Linked DNA regions of Elephas maximus indicus. The protein of the gene in region 1 purifies or fractionates together with the protein of each later gene. This does not show direct contact. Links are inferred from orthologs where the notes say so. Each region holds a gene or a part of one and is shown on either strand. Other genes may lie near its edges. The genes, in order: GDI2, RAB1B and RAB24.

What was found.
Region 2: the proteins of GDI2 (region 1) and RAB1B purify together in Homo sapiens (affinity purification with mass spectrometry; 3 studies listed by BioGRID and IntAct, counting the BioPlex papers as one, with this or other methods). This does not show direct contact. The link is inferred for Elephas maximus indicus from reciprocal best matches to the Homo sapiens genes GDI2 and RAB1B.
Region 3: the proteins of GDI2 (region 1) and RAB24 purify together in Homo sapiens (affinity purification with mass spectrometry; 3 studies listed by BioGRID and IntAct, with this or other methods). This does not show direct contact. The link is inferred for Elephas maximus indicus from reciprocal best matches to the Homo sapiens genes GDI2 and RAB24.

What each region holds. Positions count from the first base shown.
Region 1 is NC_064822.1:53,077,250-53,081,065, reverse strand, and holds the start of GDI2 (rab GDP dissociation inhibitor beta), read right to left. Parts: upstream 2,454-3,816; 5' UTR 2,217-2,453; coding exon 2,172-2,216; intron 1-2,171. UniProt on the Homo sapiens protein: GDP-dissociation inhibitor preventing the GDP to GTP exchange of most Rab proteins. By keeping these small GTPases in their inactive GDP-bound form regulates intracellular membrane trafficking.
Region 2 is NC_064825.1:129,422,396-129,425,995, forward strand, and holds the start of RAB1B (ras-related protein Rab-1B), read left to right. Parts: upstream 1-929; 5' UTR 930-1,025; coding exon 1,026-1,039; intron 1,040-2,659; coding exon 2,660-2,732; intron 2,733-3,002; coding exon 3,003-3,098; intron 3,099-3,211; coding exon 3,212-3,307; intron 3,308-3,600. UniProt on the Homo sapiens protein: The small GTPases Rab are key regulators of intracellular membrane trafficking, from the formation of transport vesicles to their fusion with membranes.
Region 3 is NC_064820.1:197,637,575-197,641,390, forward strand, and holds the start of RAB24 (ras-related protein Rab-24), read right to left. Parts: upstream 2,304-3,816; 5' UTR 1,817-2,303; coding exon 1,700-1,816; intron 1,617-1,699; coding exon 1,548-1,616; intron 1,331-1,547; coding exon 1,252-1,330; intron 1,145-1,251; coding exon 1,077-1,144; intron 992-1,076; coding exon 892-991; intron 709-891; coding exon 658-708; intron 519-657; coding exon 456-518; intron 358-455; coding exon 293-357; 3' UTR 1-292. Other genes in the region: PRELID1 (PRELI domain-containing protein 1, mitochondrial), read left to right, coding at 2,471-2,562, 3,152-3,377.

The DNA.
Region 1 (3,816 bases):
AAACCTTCTGGTAGCAGTAGTACCCATTCCAACGGGCAAAATCCACCACAAACTGCTAAGCCCCAGCTCTGAATTCCAATTAGACACTTAAAAAACAGAACAAAATTCTGCAATGCATAGGACTATTCATTTAGGATCCAACAGTGTTCCAGCTCACCACCAAAAAAGAAATTAGACTGAATCCCTCACATTCAAAATAGTTAAATGGCTTTCTAGATAAGTGATCTCATCTATTTGGAACTATTTCCTAGCCAGTCACATGTGTATTTCCAGACTGTTCAAACATTCAGAAACATTCAGAAAAAAATCACCATAAATCATTATAAACACAAAAATGATGTGTCAGTGATTTTAATAATTAAAAAATCATTTTACCAGAATAAAAAGCTATTCTAATTCTTAACAGCCGTTTCCTAAAAAATTAGCCAAGTAAAAGTTCAAAGATTTTTTTTTCGTGTCTAGAGAAACCTAAAATAGCTATTTTAATGTTATCTGAAAAAATTAATTTGATCTTGAGAGATTACAAAGCATTTCAGCTCATTTGAAGTGGTGGTTTGCATTAAATGACTCAGGAATTTGAGGTCAGATTCATAAGATACGGAAGATTTTCATCAATGTTCACCTTATTAAGACAGAAGTAGTCCAAAGACAGAACTCCAAATTTCCAAAGAAATTTGACAAACTGGTCCTCTCTTCAAATGGATTTTTTTTTCCAAAAAAAAAAAAAAGTATGAAGACAAAGAAGTACAAAATACAACACCTGCCTGCGTTATTTCCAGAATATTATCCAAAGGTCTCTAAGCAGACAGATGCCCAGGAAAATAAAGATACCATGGTATTAGGAACAGCTCGCATTCGTACTGCTATTGTATGTAGTAATACGTAATTATGTTGTTACTGATTTACCGTCTAAATCCCTAAAGAGAATACAGTAGTAGAGAGAGAACTTGGCCTCTACCAATCCATCACCAATCCATTTCTTAGCGGAAAGCATGTAGAACAGACAATGGAGACAGGGGACAAACCAAACAAAAGGAAAAGATGACAAAGGTCAGGTGCAAAAGCATTTGACAGGCAAGTTTTAAGACAAAACTCACTTCCATTCTACAAATGCTCAATAAGTGGAGTGGGGAAGGTGGCTAAAAAGAATCGATAATGTTTCTTATTTGAGGCTGGGAGAATAAGAAACTAATTGTTCATTTTCTCTAAAAAGGAAAACTAATTAAGCTGTAACAATTACCGAACAGTGATTCTCCAATGACTTGTCGCAAAATCTTTGCCTAGCTTTGGCAGCCAAAGACTGGCTAGTGGTTGACGACTAAATAGGAAATACAAGTGTCCTCCACCCTCCCCCACTCTGCCTTGTGCTTTTCCGTTTCCTATCCGAAGAGTCATCAAACCAAAAAGGGAGGTGGAGGAGCATCAATACCCCAAACCAGGCTTTTTTTTTTTTTTAAACTCTGTGGGAGAATGAAACTCTCTTTTTTCCACCTATTTTTATTTCGCCATCAGTATTCATCATCTGCTTGACCGGCTTCACGACTAAAGCTCTGGGTTTTCAATTTCCTGGTTCTTTCCTTCCACATTAAACAATCTATTCCAACCTGCAACCGACACAAACTGCCATGAGGTTACGAGAGCGCTAGATTCTGCCGCAGGCTGAAACTCCTTCAGAACTCACCCATTCCAACCAGCGAAAATTCTCTTTACCGACAACCTTGAGAACCACCTCTTCTTCTTCGAGAAAAAAAAAAAAAAAGACGACAAAGTATTAACGAAAAGAGATGCAAAACCGCAGGCCGGCTCGCCCTCTCAAGGCAATGCCCAGATGCCTGCAAACCGGGGATTCAGGAACAGAAACACAGACAGGCCGACTCTTCGTGTCCACGTCCAAAGGTGAGCCCACACCTTACACATCCACAAGTCGGAGGAAAAGGAAGACAGTGCGGTAAACTAGCGGGGGACCTGGGGAAGGAGACTGCAAAACCTGCCGGCAAGACAAGGAGCTGTGCGGGCCGGAGCACCCGCGGCCGCAGCCGCCCCTGTCCCGGCCGCATTGACTTCCCCGGACAGCTCTGGCCTGGGCTGGGGTCGGCTCCCCCGCCCCCTAGCCCCGCGTCCGGGCCACATGCTCCGGGGCTCCTCGGCCGCGGTCGCTGCCTAGAACTCACCGTCAGGCCGGTGCCCAGCACGATCACGTCGTACTCCTCATTCATGGCGGGGACAGGGAGAGGATGGAAGACAAGATCAAGGAGAAAGCGCAGGGATTCTAGACAGCCAAGGGGGTTATATATCAACCCTAAGGCGGCGGTGTAAGAGCTCAGGCCGATTTCGGAGCCCAAGAGAAAAAGGAAGACCGGAGAGGTAAAATGGAGCTGAGAAGAAGGCGAACCTGCGCGCCACCTCAGACGGGAAGAGAAGAGCCGGGAAGGGAGGGGGAAGAGAAGGACGGGAAGGGAGGGGGGAGAGAGGCGGGGCGGGCAACAGGAGCCCTCCGCAGCCTGGGGGGCGGGACTTAGGGGGAGGTGCAACGGCGGACCAGCGATCACGCTCCTCCTTCTCTCTCATTGGCTACTTCCCCATCACTCGCCCAATCATCTTCCTCTCAGACTTCACGCGAGAAGAGGTTGGGCGTAAACAGCTTAGATTCCGGTTACCCACCGAGTCCTCTGCCACGGTGGTTGAGGGGCGGAGGCGGTGGTTCGGCTCTAGCGATTAAGTGGGAAGGAAGTATGGCCAGAAGCTAGACAGTGACTGTCAACTAACTACTGCAACATCTGTGGGAGCTCAGTCGCCTCCAAAGGCCGCATGCCACCTTTGGACTTTGAGCTGTGCGCGCTGTCTTGTGCTTGTAGCGGCCACGTGGGACGTGGCGGGGAGTGTTGACTCTGCCGCGAGTGTCTGGAAAACTGCAGGCGCTCAGTTTGCTGCTTGTGAGAGGAATGCGGACTGGGGAAGGCCTGTTTCCCAGTCCCGCAGACCCTACTCTCGTGTCTCGCGGATTTGCAGCTCTTCGTGCGTGGCTTGGGATTGCTGACTGAGGAGGTTACGTAATGTGGCGTGACACTCGCTTTTGCCTCCGGACGGGATGGGCTGGTGGGACTTTAGAGCTGCAACTGGGCGTGTGTTCCAGGCGTCCAGGCAACCAGCCTCCGGATGCTTGAGCACTACCTGCAGTTGCCCTTATTTTTACTAATTGTAACTTTGTTTTGTTTCTGTCCTGCCTCCTTTGTTCTGGGACAAAAAGGAAAGAGTTCGGAAATTCCTTTTTTTTTTCCCCTGTCCTATGTCATTCTTGCTTTTGGTGCGTTGATCATACCCATGTGTGACCTTAGGAAATGTGGGAGAAGGGCAAAAAAAAAAAAGCCTCTTAAGAAAAAATAACCCTTAGCATAAATAATGGGGAAGGCCAGATTTGATTTGGAAGCACATCTGCACCTACTGAGAGCTAAAACTTAAGCCAGGTATAAAAATAGTGCCTGACCAGTGTATAAAAGTGCTCAGGCCATAAGCATAGAGGAAACTATTCGTTTGCCCTCCATTTCTCCGCCCCTCTTCTTCTTTTTTTTTTTTTTTTGGAATCTCTGGCTTTCTGTGTGGAGAAGCATAAGCAGAGGCTTGTGTTCTTTTAACCCAAGGGGAGTAAACCCTGAGGTTTACTAAAGAAGAGGCCTTCTAGACAAGTGATTTCCTTAAAGGTGTTGACACTTAAAACTGTTTCAGCCTGCCATAGATTTGTATTCTTAACAGCCAATAAAGATTTGGTATTTCCTTCAAGACTTGCCTCAAATAGAGCTAGATAATAACTGTTCAAAG
Region 2 (3,600 bases), on another chromosome or scaffold:
GCCTTATGCACTGCCCCTCCTGCCCGGCCCCGCCCAGGCAGGCCTGACTCCGCCCCGGGCCCAGCCCACCGAGCCGTTCCGCCACGCCCCTCCCACACCTGCAGCTTCTCGCGAGGGGCTGCCACGGTTGGGAAGTGAGGTGGTCGCTCTTTATTTTCAGATATTGCTGTAGAAATAAAGACGGTTTGAATCTGAGCTGGGCTTGTTTGGGGGGCGAAGATTGAGGGTGGAGAGACGGGTCGGGAGAGGTCGCGTGTGAGTGGCAAGTGTGTGTGTGTGCGTGTTGTTCGCGTCCGGTACCCGGGCCGCTGGGACCCAAATATACTGCTCCTTGCCCGGAATTGTTTGGGGGCCTCAGATTCCGAATCCGGAAGTCTCCCAAGAAGGCAACCTCCATTTCTAGGGTTATAGAGAGCGGGGACTTTGAGCCCTGCCCCTTCTTAAGCTGTTCGACCTTGAACGAATTCTATGAGTCTCGATATTTCTCATCTATAAAATGTGGGTGATGACACTCTCCTCCTGGGGCTGCGCTGTGAGTTACGAGATCCCAGCACACGGAAAACTCTAGATGAATGAACATCATCTTTTGCCGGCACCCACTTTCTCATCTAATGGTCATGACCCTGGGAGCTAGGAGGGTAGGCATGACCGCCTCGGTCAGACGTGGGAAAGGAGAATGACCCTTAACCCTGGCCCTAAACTGAGTTTTCAGCGCTGGGATGCAGGCAAGCTCCCCCAGGCGCCGTCCTAAATCCCACGTACGTCTAGGGAGCGAACTACAAGCCCCAGAAGGCAGTGCGCCGGCGGTGCAGGGAGCGGGCTGGGAGGTGAGGGCCCTCCGTTTTACGCCTGTCGTACAATGTGGAAAACTACAAGTTCCAAGAAGCAGCGCGGCGAGGCCCCACTTGGGCGTATTTGCGCCTGCGCTCCGCGGGCGGGGCCTCTGGGGCGGAGCGGCCACCATCTTGGAACGGGAGGCGGAGCAGAGCCGACTGGGAGCGACCGAGCGGGCCGCCGCTGCCGCCATGAACCCCGAATAGTGAGTGAGCCCCGCCCGCGCCGTCCGGCGCAGCCTCGATTCCGAGTACGGGGCTGTACGCTTACCGGGGTTGTCCTGCCCGGGTCAGGACTGCGCGGCGCCCCCACATCCGGGTCTCTCTTCCGCTGACCCCCCCCCCTCACATCCGGGTTCTGCCCCTCCCCCCGGGTGCCCCCGAACCCCGGCTCGACACCCCCCGAGTCATTGCACCCAGCGCCCAAAGACGGCGACCCCGAGGGGCACTGCTTGGGGCCCGAGGCATGTGCTCTACCGGGCCTTAACGGTCAGGTGACCCCGCAGCCCCGATCTCTCCTGGCCTCAGTTTCCCCACCTGCGGCTTGAACGTGGCAGCGGCCTTGGTGCAGACAACGGTCTCAGCGTTTTGGGGCCTGTCACGATAGTCTCTGGTCTTGGTATAAACTCGAGCCCTTACGTTGGGCCTTAAGTCCCTCTGCCCTGCAGATCCAACAACACCGGAGGCCCCGAGGCAGCGCTCCGGGGGGGTTGTCACCTGGCCCCTCGCTTGGGCCGCACTGCCCTGCCGCCCCCGGCAGTCATTCTGTCCTGCCCTCCTCACCTTTGCACAGGCACCCTGCCGCCGTCGGCACACCTCTTCCCTTCGCTGTAACACTGAAGTTTACAGAAATGTGGCAGTTGCTTCCCCGCTTCGGTGGGATTCTTTGCTCCACGAACTCTCCTCACTTCTTGGTCACTCCCCCTAGGGGTAGCTGGGGTAGGTGGCCCACATCTCCTGGCCAGGACTTCGCACTGATAGTTTCCCCGGAGTATCAGTTATCATTGTCTTCCTCTTCTGCCACTTCCTTTTCTTCCTCCCGATCCAGGCCACAGGTTTCCGTGGGGCAGGGTGAAGCTCTGAGCTGGATTACAAGGGGGAACAGAGAAGCAAACCAGCAGGCTGGCAAAGAGACTTTGGAGTCTGACAGACCTGGTTCTAGTAGTATAGTTAACAGCTGTGTGACCTGGGGCAAGACTGCCCTTCTCCAGCTCTGGGTTTCTCCTTAGATGGCAATAACAGCACCCACTTCACTGGACTGACGTGAGGATTTGATGACATGGTGCATTTGAAGCTCTTAGCACAGGACCAGGCAAAGTAGGAACTCAGTGACTGTTAACTGCTGTTGCCATTGCTACTTGTTGGCCACTTCTGCTTGGTGGCTTCATACCAGGCTCTTTACGTAGGTAGTTATTTAGTGGGTTCTGGTCTGGGCTCTGGCTTCCACTTCTGCGGCCTCGCCTGCCAAGGCAGGCACACCACAGGGCATGCAGTGGGGTTCTCTAAGTAATCCCAATCAGACAGAACAATGAAATTTGTCAGGAATGAGTAGGATACCCAACTCTGTCGCTACTGATTGTGATCCTTGGCAAGTCAGGTCCCTCTCTGTGCCTTGGATTCCTTCTCTGTAAATTGGGATTTAGCCTCAGCACACTGAGAGCCTTTTGGGGTAGCTATATTATGTGGGGGACTAGAAGGAGGGTTGGGTGAGCGTCGTCGTCTTACAAACCAAGGCACACCCCCCAGTAAGGTTACAGTTGTGACTCCAGTATGTTGGTGGGTGGGCTCCCTGCCATCCTTCATGCCTTCCCATCCTCTCTCTCCAGTGACTACCTGTTTAAGCTGCTTTTGATTGGTGACTCGGGCGTGGGCAAGTCCTGCCTGCTCCTGCGGTTTGCTGTGAGTAAGAAGTCTCCTGTACCGTCCATCTGGGGTCCTGGCTGGCTGGCCAGGGGGAAGAAGGGATACCCTAGAACACAGCAGTTATGAGACCTGGGGGACCAAGGATGAAGTTGCAGGACCTGCTGGCAACACATCCAACAGGAAGGCGGCAGGGCTGGCAAAGTGGGGTGCTGAGAGCTGGGGCTTGGCAGTTAGGAGCTCAGCTGGGCAGGGAGCTGGAGGGAGGTTTTCCAGATGGGCCTCAGACCCGTTCACTGGCCCTTTCAGGATGACACATACACAGAGAGCTACATCAGCACCATTGGGGTGGACTTCAAGATCCGAACTATTGAGCTGGATGGCAAAACCATCAAACTTCAGATCGTGAGTGGTGTTCTTCCCATAGCCGCCATGTAGAGGCACTACTCTGGGAGGGGCATGGGGCTCTGGGTATGGAGTGAGGCTGACCCTGTCTCTCCTCCCCTCCTGTCATGAAGTGGGACACAGCCGGTCAGGAACGGTTCCGGACCATCACCTCCAGCTACTATCGGGGAGCCCATGGCATCATCGTGGTGTACGACGTCACCGACCAGGTACTGGCTTTGCCATCCCCAGCCTTGCCTCCTCGACCTTAGGTCTCTGGCCCTTGCTTCTTTTTACTTTGCTTGTCTTCTCTTCCTGATGCTCCTCAGAAAGGGGACTATACTTGATTCATTTCACAAGGAGAGAAACAGCCACAGAAATGGACCCTCTCAAGGTCCTCCCACCTGAGCTTGCCACCTCATTCTAGACCTTCTGGGCACTTGTGCTTTCTGGAGGTTTAGTCAGCAGGTTGGCCTCCTGTGTGGAGCCTGTGGCCTTTTGTGTGGAACACACTGTGGGGGAG
Region 3 (3,816 bases), on another chromosome or scaffold:
ATGTGATTCACAGTGCATTGATTTTATTTACAAATCAGAAGCCACTTAAATAATCTGCAGACACATGTGCTGTCCAGGGCAGAAGCCTGGGGTCCAAGTCAGCCCTCAGCCCTCCTTGTTCCCATCAGTCAGCCCAATGCTGCCTCCGTTCCATGGGCCAGCACAGACAGGTGCCACCTCTGCTGCCACAGGGACCTGGGGTAGCTCAGACATTTGACCACCCAAGCCCAGATAAGTTGGGTCCAGCCCCGTGGGAATTCATTTAATTCCCCCAGGCTAGGTGGGTGGTGACTCAGTGATGACAACAGCTGTAGAAGTAGGGATTTGCCTTCTGGCCCAGGTCCACGCCCTTGTCCTCTGTCAAAGAGAGATGGCAGCTCAGTACCATTCTGCTGGAGGGATCAGGTGCCAAGGGTCTAGAGGAAGTCTCCACAGAGGCTTGAGGAAGCACACACCTGTCATCACCTGGAAGGCAGCCACACTGACGTAATCCTCTGCCACTTTCTGGAAGAGCTCGTCTGGCAGGAAAAAGGATGATCGGTGAGGGCCCAATGCCAGCAGCCAGGGAATCATCCAGTGACCCAGCCCTCTAAGCCCGTCTCTGCTTCCTTCGATGCCCCTGCCTGCCCTACTGTGAGGCCCCAGGACGACACTCACCCACACTCTGGCCCGTCTTGCTAGATGTTTCAAAGAGTTGAGCTTTAATATCTGTAAAGAAAAGTGACTAAACCCTCATACCCGAGAATGTGGGTACAGAACAAAAGGGGAAGGCTAACAGTTGAGGAAATCTGGACCCCTCAGTCCATGGAGCCCAGAGAGCCTTAGGGATCTTGCTGAGGCAGCCAAGCAGTCACTCTCCTCCCCCAACCCCTGGGGACTGAGGAGCAATACTGTCTGCATAGTCCTGAACGTCATGGAAGTCCACACGTCGCCGCCGCCGATCCTCCTCCAGCAGGTCACTCTTGGTGCCACACAGATAGATCTGACAACCCTGGGGCAAAAAGCAAGGTCAGGGTCACCCTCATGGACCACTAGAGCGGCAGCCTCTGGTCCCCTGGCTAGGTGTGGCCACCTACCTCTTCTAGGTTGCGCAATTCCTTCACCCAGAACTTTGCTCTCTCAAAGCTGCTGCTGTCTGTGAGGTCTTGGTGGGTTGGTTGCGTAGGAGACACAATCAAGGGTCAGGAGCTGAGGCTATCCTGGCACCCACCCCTGCTGCTGGAGGAACAGGCCAGAACCCCCGCCCCTTACCATAGCACACGATGGCAGCCTTGGCACCCCGATAGTAGATTCGGCTCATGGCCTCATAGCGCTCAGAGCCTGCTGTGTCCTGAAGGGCAAGAGGAGGCTCAGTCTAGCCTGAGTTGCTAAGCTACTTCCAAAACTGCAAACTACACCTGCATCCTCCAAGGACCCCATTTTCCAGATAAAGAAACTACGGTCTATAGAAAAGAAAAACTCTGGGCCCCCAAGTCAGCCAGTGATGGGCAGGACCTAAGCCCTCTCAGGAATGGGTTTCCCCAGGACATCTTGCCCAGGTGACTTACCCAAATACCCAAAGTCACTGTCCGGTCTCCGACGGACATCACCTTGGCCACGAAGGCGGCCCCGATGGTCTGCAACGAGGGGAAAGAAATAAGGGCCGCGGGTGCGAGCTGGCCCCCTCCCACTCGTGCCCGGCCCCGCGGGGCGCACTCACGTTCTGATAGGGCCCCACCAGGAAGCGGTCGTGCACGTATCGCTCCACCAGGCTCGTCTTGCCCACGTACTCCTTGCCCAGCATCACCACCTTCACGTCCACGCGCTGTCCGCTCATGCTCCCGGGGACGCCTCACCCACGTCGAGGTCCGGAGCGGGGACGGGAGGCAGTGCCCAAGCCTCCGGCCCCGACCGCCGGCGCCAACCTACGACTCGAGACACCAAGGCGGGCTCGAGCTCCGGCAGCGGCCTCACACCTCGACGGCGCCCCCGCCCGTCCCGGCTCTTCGGCCCCGGGTACTGAGACTCGAAGAGAGCAAGACCCAGGGCGTCCTGAGAGCGCGCGGGGCAGCGCCCTCAACGGCGCTGCACGCCGCTGCCCAGCCCACTCCCTCGTCCGCCTCGCTGAGGTCCCACTGAGGCTTGGACTCCCAGCCGAGCCCGGCTCTGCGAAGACCCCGGTCCGACCAGCAGCGCCGCGAAACCCGCGAATCCCGCGGGAGGGGGCTAGAAAGCCAGGTTGGGGGGGGGCGGGCGGCAGGACACCGAGGTCACGTGGTGCGGACGCCGGAAACGATGGGTGCTGCGCCGGAAGTGGCGCGCTTCCTGACCACTCCTCATGGCGGCGGCGGCGGAGGTTTGGGCGCGGTGTGGTGGTGACTGAGCTGCGAGCCTGGCGGGCGTGCGCCGAGCCACGGCCCGGCCTCCGCGTGCCCCCCGGGCTCCGCACCCCTGATGCTGCGCGGGTGCTGAGCCCGCCCCGGCCGGGACGATGGTGAAGTATTTTCTGGGCCAGAGCGTGCTCCGGAGTTCCTGGGACCAAGTGTTCGCTGCTTTTTGGCAGCGGTACCCGAATCCCTACAGGTACGTGACTCTGGAAAGAGCAACCCTCCCCTCGCTGCTTGGAGATCGAAGCGTGGGCGACCCCCAAATGAGGCTGGGAAGAACTCGACACCAAGTCTGAGATGGGGAAATCCTTGAACCGTGGCTGTGTTTAGAGCACGAGGATCTTATCGGGAAAGCAGCCAGGCCAGGCCTGCAAGGTCCAGAGAGGAGACTGGGGCCTGGGCAGTTTTATGTGAGTCCCTCTTCGAAGGCCCTCGTAGGGTGGGGAGACAGGAAGAGGCGGTGGCACAGGAGTTGGGCAAGATCTTAGGGTTGGAAATCCAGAGTTTTTCCTATCCTCGTCCTCTCTCTAGTGGTGCAGTAAATCCTAAGGTCCAGCCCTGATAACAGGCCCAGGAATCCAGGTCAGCGAGGAGGCGGGAGTTGGAATTTGCCCTGAGGATAGGCTCAATGGACTCCAGTTCTGATCTGGGCCACAGCACAGATTACTTTGCGAGATTGCAGGAAGGCATGGCCAGTTGGGGCCAGGACACTTCAAGTGGGAGCCCCAACAGGCAGTACACCTGAGGAATGCTTCTAAGTATCACCTTCTCTCTGCCACCTGCAGCAAACATGTCTTGACGGAAGACATAGTACACCGGGAGGTGACCCCTGACCAGAAGCTCCTGTCCCGGCGACTCCTGACCAAGACCAACAGGATGCCTCGCTGGGCTGAGCGACTGTTTCCTGCCAATGTTGCTCACTCGGTATACATCCTGGAGGACTCTATTGTGGACCCACAGAATCAGACCATGACCACCTTCACCTGGAACATTAACCACGCCCGGCTGATGGTGAGCTCTCCTCCCCCTACAAGTAGAGCAATCCTTGGGTGTGGCTGGAGAGCCCTTAGGGAGCACTTGTGGTTTGAGGCAGGTCTGGGTTACTGAAGCTTGATGGTTCTAGAGTACAGCCTCAGATTATCTTTTCAGCTGGTTAGTTTCTCTGGACTTAAAACAGGCAGGATACCTGTTTAACAGAGTTGTTCCAAGTACTAAATACAAAGCACTCAGCACTGTGCCTGGCACACACACAGGGTGTAACCCACAGGAGTGGTATTGAGGGAATAAGGCAGGGGTTTTCAAACATGAGTCCATCGAGCCATAAGTATGCCTTGAATACACTTGGGAAGGAGACCCTCTGTCCCTTTTGTCCCACTTTGATTGGAGGAATTCACTTTTGTGTTATGTAATGGATTTCTGCCTAAGATTTTTGGAGAAAAATTTGAAAACT